2 linked regions of the Cricetulus griseus genome follow. The protein of the gene in region 2 interacts with the protein of the main gene of each other region in a pairwise test. Links are inferred from orthologs where the notes say so. Each region holds a gene or a part of one and is shown on either strand. Other genes may lie near its edges.

Region 1 (4,381 bases), on a different chromosome or scaffold from region 2:
TGACCCCCTGCCCCTGGCCGCCCCGGCTCGCGTTCCGGCACATTCCGTCCTCCCCGCCCCGCCCCTCCCCTCCCTCCACCCTTGGCCTCATGGGGACGGAAACATCCCGTCCCTGCCCGAGCTGGGTCAAGAGCCGGAGGGACAGGCCTGGAGCGCCCCCAACGCCAGAACTAGCTCTCCTGGTTTCTGCTGGGTGACCTCACCTCACCACGCCCCCTCAGGTGAACCAACCGGAGGGGAGCGTCACTTCCTGCCAGGTAAGCGCCCAGAGGCTGCCCGGCGAGGCTGGAGGTCAGTTTGCCCACCATCCCACAGCTGTGGCCCGTGAAAATAAAGCAATTCCATCTCAGTTCGCACTTGGGATTTTATTTAAAAATTCCATAAAACCACAAAAATAGACCTGTAAGGTAGCAATATATTACTTAATATATTATAGTATACTTAATACAGTATCCATTTTAATATTACAAAAAGAAAACACGAAGTAGACGACCCAATATATATAAATACTATAAAATCTTATTACAATAAATAAAAGTCGTCATAAATAAAGGGCCCACTGGTTGGAGAAGGGATTTGGCAATGGCTTTGGCTATTTGCTTTCGGAGGGAAATTTGAGCACCAGGATTCTCCGTCAGGGGAGGCTTCAACCACCAGACACTGAAACTCCGGGTCTAGTAAAAACTGGGATGGGGTTGTGGGAGCCAGCTCTTCACAGCACTTAAGATTCCAGGAGACCAGAGTTGGGGAGGGGGCTGGTGCATGCCTATATAACACCAAAACTTAGGAATCTAAGGAAGGATTATCTCAAGTTCAAAGACAGCCTGGGCTCTATACTAAGCCCTATCTCAGAAGCAACCCAAAAGAGTTGGGCCTGGAAGACCAACTGTCAACTGTCCCCCACAAAAATGCTACATTTTAGGTACCTCATGAACCAATACACCCAAACACTGAATTTGCAAACTAGGGACCTGCCCCAGCACAGCACCAGGGGAGTGGGTTAATGCATTTTGGAATGTCAGGGAGGCACTTAGGGATTTAGGAGTCCCCCCCTAGGTCCCCACAACAATAAGCAACCCTCTTGAGATCTAGCTGACCCACACTAGTTAGGCATTTGTCACTCAGAAACAGAGATGCGATTGAAGATGGGGAGACGCCTTGGGGGTGCAGTGGGTGGGGGAGGCCCAAACACCCCAGCTTCAAAGACGGGTGAGTCTGACCCACCCAGGCTGCTGCCGCTGCTGGCATAGTCATCTGGATCGGATCCCAGGGAGTGTGCAGATGGGCTCCGAGCCAGGCCACCCAAGGGCCCCCAGATGGTGTTAGGGGTTGACCTTCGGCAGGAGGGGCAGCAGGCTGGAACGGGGTCTCTTCGAGTCACAGGGGTCCCAGGGGCAGCAGAGAAGGCAGAAGGGGAAAGTGGAAGGTCCCCGGGTGGTGGTGGGGAGCTAGAGGGTGAAAAGGAACATGAGGACAGGGAAGGGCCAGGAAAGCCTGGTGGCGGCGGCGAGGTTCTGCGGCCAGAGGGCAAGCCCGAGAAGCTGATGCTTTGTCGAAGCACATGGGGCTGGCCCGGGGCAGCCAGGTCTTCGTTGGGGTTGTGGATGAAGTGGCATCGAGAGCCATAGGGACAGCGGCCCTGGAGGTAGAACTTGTGGCAGAGTTCCGTTTTGTACTTGGGGTGTCGATTGGCCTGGCGCAATTCACCCAGGCCGTGGGCAAACTGGCACTTGGCCCCGTATCGACAACGCCCGCTCTCCGAGTAGGTCCGACAGAGCTCGGTCTTGTACCGGGAGGCGGTGGTGGTGGTGGTGGTGGGAGTCGCAGTAGGCGAAGTCGGTGAGGGTGACAGTTCAGGGCCCGGGCGGGGAGCCAAGGGTGCAAAACCCGGGGGTGGGGGCACCCAACCGCAGCTTCGGCCCTCCACCAGGCTGGTGGAGCGGCCGGTCAGGCGGGAAGTGACCCCGGCTGGGATGGAGTCAGACGAGTTTATGCTCCAAAAGACCGAGGGGTCGGTCCCTCCGTGGTCGGATGACAGGTCTGGGCCCAACGACAGGAGGCTCTGAGAGGAACAGGGTTCGGTTAGGCCACCAGAAAAGGTGAGGTGACGACGCCCCGCCCGCCCCGGTTTGTAAATAACTTCACAAGCTTGCCATTCCGGTTTGTGGGTTCTGGGTGCTGAGCCCCACCCGGATCACACCAAGTCCGGGGGAGAACCTGATGGTGGGGGATCTGAGGGTTTCCACGCCTCCGAAGCTGAGCCAGGAGGACCCAGGAAGCCCGGTGTCCCCGACTGAGCCAGACACGGCACCCCCAAATCAGAGGACACAACTGCGCCCCAACTTCGGGCCTCTAGACCTCCCCGGATATGACCGCCCATGGGCGCTCCAGTTTCACAAACTTGGAGGAGGGACCGGTCAAAGCCGACCCAGACCAGATCTCTCTCTCTCTCTCTCTCTCTCTCTCCAACTCCCCCCAGCCCTACCCTACACTAGCTGGGGCGACAAACGGCGCGCGAGGCGGGCGAGGGGACCGGGCAGGTGCGGGGCCACTTCCGCCCCGCGCCAGTGACACCAGCGCGCCAGCTCTCGGTCCCCGGGGCCGGCAGGCGCCGGGCTCCGGGCTCGTGGGCGCCCCTGGCTCACCACCCGGAGCCGAGCCGGGCAGGTCAGGGTAGGGCAGGGCAGGGCAGGGCTGGGGCTCCGGAGGACTCGGGAGTGCCGTGCGGGCAGCACTCACCTCGTAGATGGCAGAGAGGTCCATGGTGGCGCGAACGGCCGTGGAGAGGAGGAGACCGTGGCTCGGGCCGCACAAGTCTGGCTGTGGCCGGCGGCGCGAGCTTTCCTTCTTTATAAGAGCTTGCGGCCTGGGGGGCGTGGCGGGGGCGTGGCCAAGGGCGCTTCCCGGACGCGCCCCCGCGGGGTCAGCCCAGCCCACCGGGGGACTCGGCCCCTTCCGCCCCTCGGCTGGCTCGTTACTTTGCTTGAATGTGCCCCAACTCGGCTCGCGGGCAGCCCCGGCCCGTCTCGGGGCGGTGTAGCCGGGGCTTTGTCACCCTGATGGTTAGCGGGGCGTCGGAGTAGTTTTGGAAGGTTGGCGACGATCGGGAAGGGAGCTGGGGTAGGAGGAGTGGGGGCAGGGCCCCGGGGACAATTGACAAGGGCAGGGACCCGGGAGGGCGTGGGCGTGTGAGACACACCGGGGCGGGGCGGGGAGAGACATCTGCAAGAGACGGAGATGGCCAGAGGCCGGGAGGAAAACAGAGACAGACGTACGCAAGTTAGGACAGCCACTCGGGGAGGCTGAGGCAGGAGGCTGCAAAAATTACTATAGAGGGAGTTCTAGGGCCCCCTGGGTAACATGGTGGGACCTTTGTCTTAAGAAGTAAAACGGGGGCCCCCGGCGTTGGTGGCGCACGCCTTTAGTCCCAGCACTCGGGAGGCAGAGGCAGGTGGATCTCTGTAAGTTCGAGGCCAGCCTGGTCTGCAGAGCGAGTGCCAGGATAGGCTCCAAAGCTACAGAGAAACCCTGTCTCGAAAAACTTAAAAAAAAAGGGGGTTAGCCAGAGGATAGTGTGGCTCGCCTTTAATCCCAGCACTTAGGTGGCAGGGGCAGGCGCATCTCTGAGTTCCAGGCCAGCCTGGTCTACAAAGCGAGTTCCAGTTCATCCAAGACTACGCAGAGGAACCCTGCCTCGAAAAAACAAACTAAAAATAAAAAAGGGCCAGGCGGTGGTTGGCACAGTGGCCATTAAAACCAGTTTGATCCCAGCACTCTGAGACAGAGGCAGGCGGATCTGTTGAGTTCGAGGCCAGCCTGGTCTCCAGAGTGAATTCCAGAACAGCCATGGCTACACAGAAAACCAAGTTTAAAAACAACGCCTGCGCTGCCGGGGGTGTTAGCGCACGCCTTTAATCGCAGCACTTGGGAGGCAGAGGCAGGCGGATCTCTGAGTTCAAGGCCAGCCTGGTCTACAAGAGCAAGTTCCAGGACAGGCTCCAAAGCTACACAGAGAAAACTCTGTCTCAAAAAACAAACAACCTAAAGTCCCACAAACCAGCCAGTAGCATATGGCTGTCATCACGGCATTTCAGAGGTGGGGGGAGATGAAATCAGGCGTTCAGTGCCAGTCTCAGTATTGATCGAGTTCCAGGTCCGATTTCTAAAAAGAGAAACCACTAAGGTGGGGGAGGGGGGGATAAAGAAGGCTCGGTGCTACAGTGGCTACTTGGCTCCAATCCCTACTACAGAAAAAATAAAATCGATGACATATGGATGTAGGAAATGGGTTACAGAAAGGTAAAAAGCATGGGTGAAGTGAAAACTGAAACCTCCGGGCACAGAACCCGTTGTAGGACACAAGAGTCTGCTATCGACAAGC
Region 2 (4,291 bases):
CCTCTTTCCTCTTCTAACCCTGTCTAGAGTCTATTGGTTGTTTGACACCATCTAGTAGTATTTTGAACAAGTAACATGGGGATACTGTATCACATGGCTTGTTATAATTGTTTTATGGACTTTAAACTTTGCTATCTAGTTTCCCTTTTTATTTTCATGTGAGGATTCAAAGACTGTGCTGATACTAAGCCTCTCTCTGGTCCCCAAACCTATTCCTCTCCATCCCGCCCCTCCATGTACTCTCCTGCTCACCTTGCCACCCACACAGCAGGCCAGAGGTCAACTCTGGGGTTTTCCTTAATCGCTTCTTTATTTTTTGAGACAGGATCTCTCAGTGAACCTGAAGCTCACTAATTCAGTTGGATTGGCTGGCCAACGAGCCCTCAGTATCCACCTGTCCCTGTTCTCCGGTGCTAGTGTTACAGGTTAAAGACTGCTATCTAATTGGGCAATGCCCATGCCCCCCCCCAGCTTTTAGTGGATGTTGGGAATCCCAACTTCGATCCTTCTTTCTTAGTCACCCTTTTTTGATCTCTTTTTAATAAAATATTTGTGGAAGGCATTACCTTGATACACCAAGCATTTATTTATTCATGTGTGTGTGTTTTGCCTGCATATATGTGTGTGTATCATGCTCTGCAACTGGAGTTACAAACAGTTGTGGGTGCCAGAATCAAACTGAGGTCCTCGTAATCAAAGCTCTTAATTACCACACCACCTCTCAGTCCCCTATTTATTTATTTTGAGTTAGGGTCTCACTATGTAACTCTGGCTGGCCTCAAACTCAGAGATCTGCAAGCTCCTGCCTCCAGAGTGCTAGGATTAAAGAAGTAGGACACCATGCCGTGCTGTGCTGATGCACCAGGTCTTACAGTTCACTTACAGTGTAAAATTAAAGCAGTCCTTACTTTCAATTTCAATCTACTAAGAAACTTTCACAAAATCTATCTTGCTGTCCATGTCATAATGTTCCTTTTAATGACAGTTTTGTTTTTGCAACAAAATTCCTCAGGATAGAGAATCCAAGATATTTTAACCAAATAAACTATTGTGGCTGAAGAGCACAGAATATAAATGTTACTGAACACATTAGATGCTATCAAATATTTATTGATCAAAGGTCCAGCAATAGAAATACAACTTAATTGTCTCCATTTTCACTCTTGTCCCTGGATATAAATGCCCTCTAAATCTAACTCAACCTATATTTAAAATAAATGAATGACAATTTAGCACTTTGGAACTTTTTATGAGCTTTTTTTTTTTTTCATATGCCTGCAACATGAAAAATAAATGACCCAGAGACTGGTATTAGGGTTCAACCTTCAAGTTGAATATCAAAACAAAACAAAAAAAAAAACCAAAGCAGCAAGCCACTAGCTTCTTAATTCTACCTCAGACTGAATGCGATGATCCTGTCTCCATGAGTTCTCACTAAGACTCACATTGAATCCTTGATCCTGTCTTTTATACCCCTCTAGTGTTGGAATTAAAGGTGTGAGTTATAATTCTCTTTTAGCAGGCTAAAAGAGAACTATACACAAGATTGTGTATCTTGAGTAGAGTGAATCTTGTGTAGATCTGGGTTGCTTTGGACTCACAGAGATCTGTCTACCTCTTAATCCTGGGTCCTAGAATTAAAGGTATGTACCACCACCTCCTAGCTTCTGGCTAATCTCTATAGCTTGAGGCTGACTTTGCTTTTCTGAATCCTCAATCAAGCTTTAATAGAAATCATAATATATATAACACTATATATGCTGTTTCATTAGAACTTAATATCAAGAAAATCCTTTCCAGAGACTAGACTTCATAATTATACTTCCAAGTACCTTAACAAACAAAACAAAACCCCACACAATTGACAGCTCCCATTATTAACACAGTGCTACGTATCACAAATAATTCAATTAACTATACAAGTTTCAAAAACGAGTTCTTTTTTTTCTGTAAACCAAAGTCGTTATCTAAGTCATTCAATGTGACATACTAAATTATCATTCTAAGCCTAGCTTACCTATCAGAACATTTGGTTTCTCTCTTTCTGCTATTTAAACATGCAAATATATTACAATACATAGATATACAAATACACACTTTTAGAACTCACATCATCGCTGCTGTGGGGTCATTATACAACAACTATTAGTGATAATGTTTCGAGCTTTTTCTCCATATCAAAGGCACTAAGCACCATCAACCCCCCTCCCCATCCCTGCGACCAATCTAAACGTTTTGTTCGTTTAGACAATGGGGGGATGGGTACTGTTTGGGAGCTAAAAAGAGTATCAAAAGGTATCACAAATACGAATCACTGGCTACATCAATGGGTTCAGGGGTCGGGGTTAGATGCAGCTCTTTACAGCTGGAATACTAGGCGATTCCACCGCAGGAACGTTTGCTAGTGCTTGTACACAGGTCTATTGCTTTGCGTGGGACGAGACACCCGGGAAGGCATCCCTCTCAGCCTTGCAGCCAAAGGCGAAGCCAGGGCAGCTCCCAGGAGGGCACAGGGCTCACTAAAAGCCTCCTCACTAAGGGCTCCTTTGGAAGTCGCGGAAAGCTCTCCCAGGGGGAGCTCAGACCTGCCGCAAGCACCTGGCGCGGCCGCACTGATCTTGCCTGCCTCTACCCGGTGTGCTCACCGGGAGGCCGCCAAGCCTCTGTCCTCCCCATCCTTCTCCTGTCCGGCTGCTTACAGCACCGCTGGCAGCTGTAAGGCAGGCCCTGGTCCCACAGCGCCGAGCGGGCCGCGGCCTGTGCTCACCCACCTGATGCTCCTTCACCACTTCGCTGAGGCAGGGATACCGCTCCGAGATCCATCGGTAAAACTTGGGGACTCCCATTTTGACCGTCGACACTAATTCCAGTCGGTGCAGAAACGAAACCAAACGCCCCGCCCGGGCCTACGCCACCACCTCCGGCCGTCGCTCGGAGGATGACAACACAAGGTCCGCCAGACCATAGAGCAAGCTGCGGGCCTAGAGGGGCAGGACGGTGCCAGTGGGCGGGGCGTCCTGTCTACCTCGCTGCTTTTCCGTACTCGTTGGTGGGAGGCGCAAGAGGCGTGATTGTTGTGGGAAGCTCAGTTTTGAAAGTGCCAATTAGTAGAGGTGTGGACTTGCAGACGGTATGAAAAAAGTTAAAGGGCAGTAGGGAGAATGGATTGGTTAGTTTTATGGCAACTTGACACATGGTGGAGTCATTGGGAAGAGGAACCTCTGAGAGAAATGCTGCCTCCAGATTGGCCTTTGGGAATATTTTGATTAATGATCGATGTGGAGGGCCCAGGTCACTGTGGGCTGGTGCCACCCTGGGCAGGTGGTCCTGGGGTGTATGAGAAAGCCGACTGAGCGAACAAGTCAGAAAGCAGCGTTCCTTCGTGGCTTGATTCCTGCCACAAGTTACTGTGATGATGTGATGCGGAAGTGTAAGCCACATAAACCCTTTCCTTCCCAAGTTGCTTTTGGCCATGATGTTTATCACAGCAATAGAAGCCCTAAGTAAGAGATGGTATTGGACAGTGGATTTTGTACTGCCGGCATCTCCTCCTGGGATCGCTAAACTATTTTTCAACACGGACTGGAAGAGATCTGGTTCGTTTGTGAGGGGAGTTATTTTCTGAGTAATGTACGTTTCAAGATTGGGGGTTACTCCCCTCCCTTCCAATTTTTGCTGCCCTGTTTCAAAACCAAAAAACCAATAAAACCCCAAAAACCTGGCGTGGCCTTGCACACCTATAAATTTAGGAGGCATAGGAGGATCAGTTAAGGCCATTCTCAGGCAAATAGCAAGTTCAGGGAGATCCTGGGCAATATGAAAGCCTTTCTCAAACCAAAAACTCAAAAAGCCTAGTGTGGTATGCAAGTCTTAATCTCAGCACTTGAAGGGTGCAGGCAGGAGGCTCAGGAGTTCAAGGTCATCTTCATCTACATGACAAGTTCCAGACTAGTCTGTACTACATGAGAATTTGAATCAACCAAACAGGACAAAAGCCACCATGAACATCTCTGTACAGGTCTCTATCATTATGTGACTTTCATTACAGCAAGTACTTGTGAAGTTACTGATTCTTTCCTTTGGTACTACCTATCTTCCATGATTAGGATTTGGACAGTATCCATCTTTAGTCAAGAACTTTCCATTTATGTGACTTCGGTCTCCATGCAAGGACTGTATAGAATAGATTCATTCTCAGGCACTTTCTCTTCTTTATGTCTACAAACTACCACAACAAAACTGTTTTATTCTTTTGTTGAGCCTATGTAGTCCTGGCAGTCCTCACTGTGTA

What was found.
Region 1: the proteins of Xrn1 (region 2) and Zfp36 interact in a two-hybrid assay, tested with the Homo sapiens proteins (2 studies listed by BioGRID). The link is inferred for Cricetulus griseus from reciprocal best matches to the Homo sapiens genes XRN1 and ZFP36.

Annotation. Positions count from the first base shown.
Region 1 is NC_048602.1:7,508,632-7,513,012, reverse strand, and holds Zfp36 (mRNA decay activator protein ZFP36), read right to left. Parts: upstream 2,850-4,381; 5' UTR 2,764-2,849; coding exon 2,740-2,763; intron 2,063-2,739; coding exon 1,118-2,062; 3' UTR 347-1,117; downstream 1-346. Other genes in the region: putative uncharacterized protein FLJ46214, read right to left, coding at 2,850-3,222. UniProt on the Homo sapiens protein: Zinc-finger RNA-binding protein that destabilizes several cytoplasmic AU-rich element (ARE)-containing mRNA transcripts by promoting their poly(A) tail removal or deadenylation, and hence provide a mechanism for attenuating protein synthesis.
Region 2 is NC_048597.1:204,593,464-204,597,754, reverse strand, and holds the start of Xrn1 (5'-3' exoribonuclease 1), read right to left. Parts: upstream 2,956-4,291; 5' UTR 2,847-2,955; coding exon 2,772-2,846; intron 1-2,771. UniProt on the Homo sapiens protein: Major 5'-3' exoribonuclease involved in mRNA decay. Required for the 5'-3'-processing of the G4 tetraplex-containing DNA and RNA substrates. The kinetic of hydrolysis is faster for G4 RNA tetraplex than for G4 DNA tetraplex and monomeric RNA tetraplex.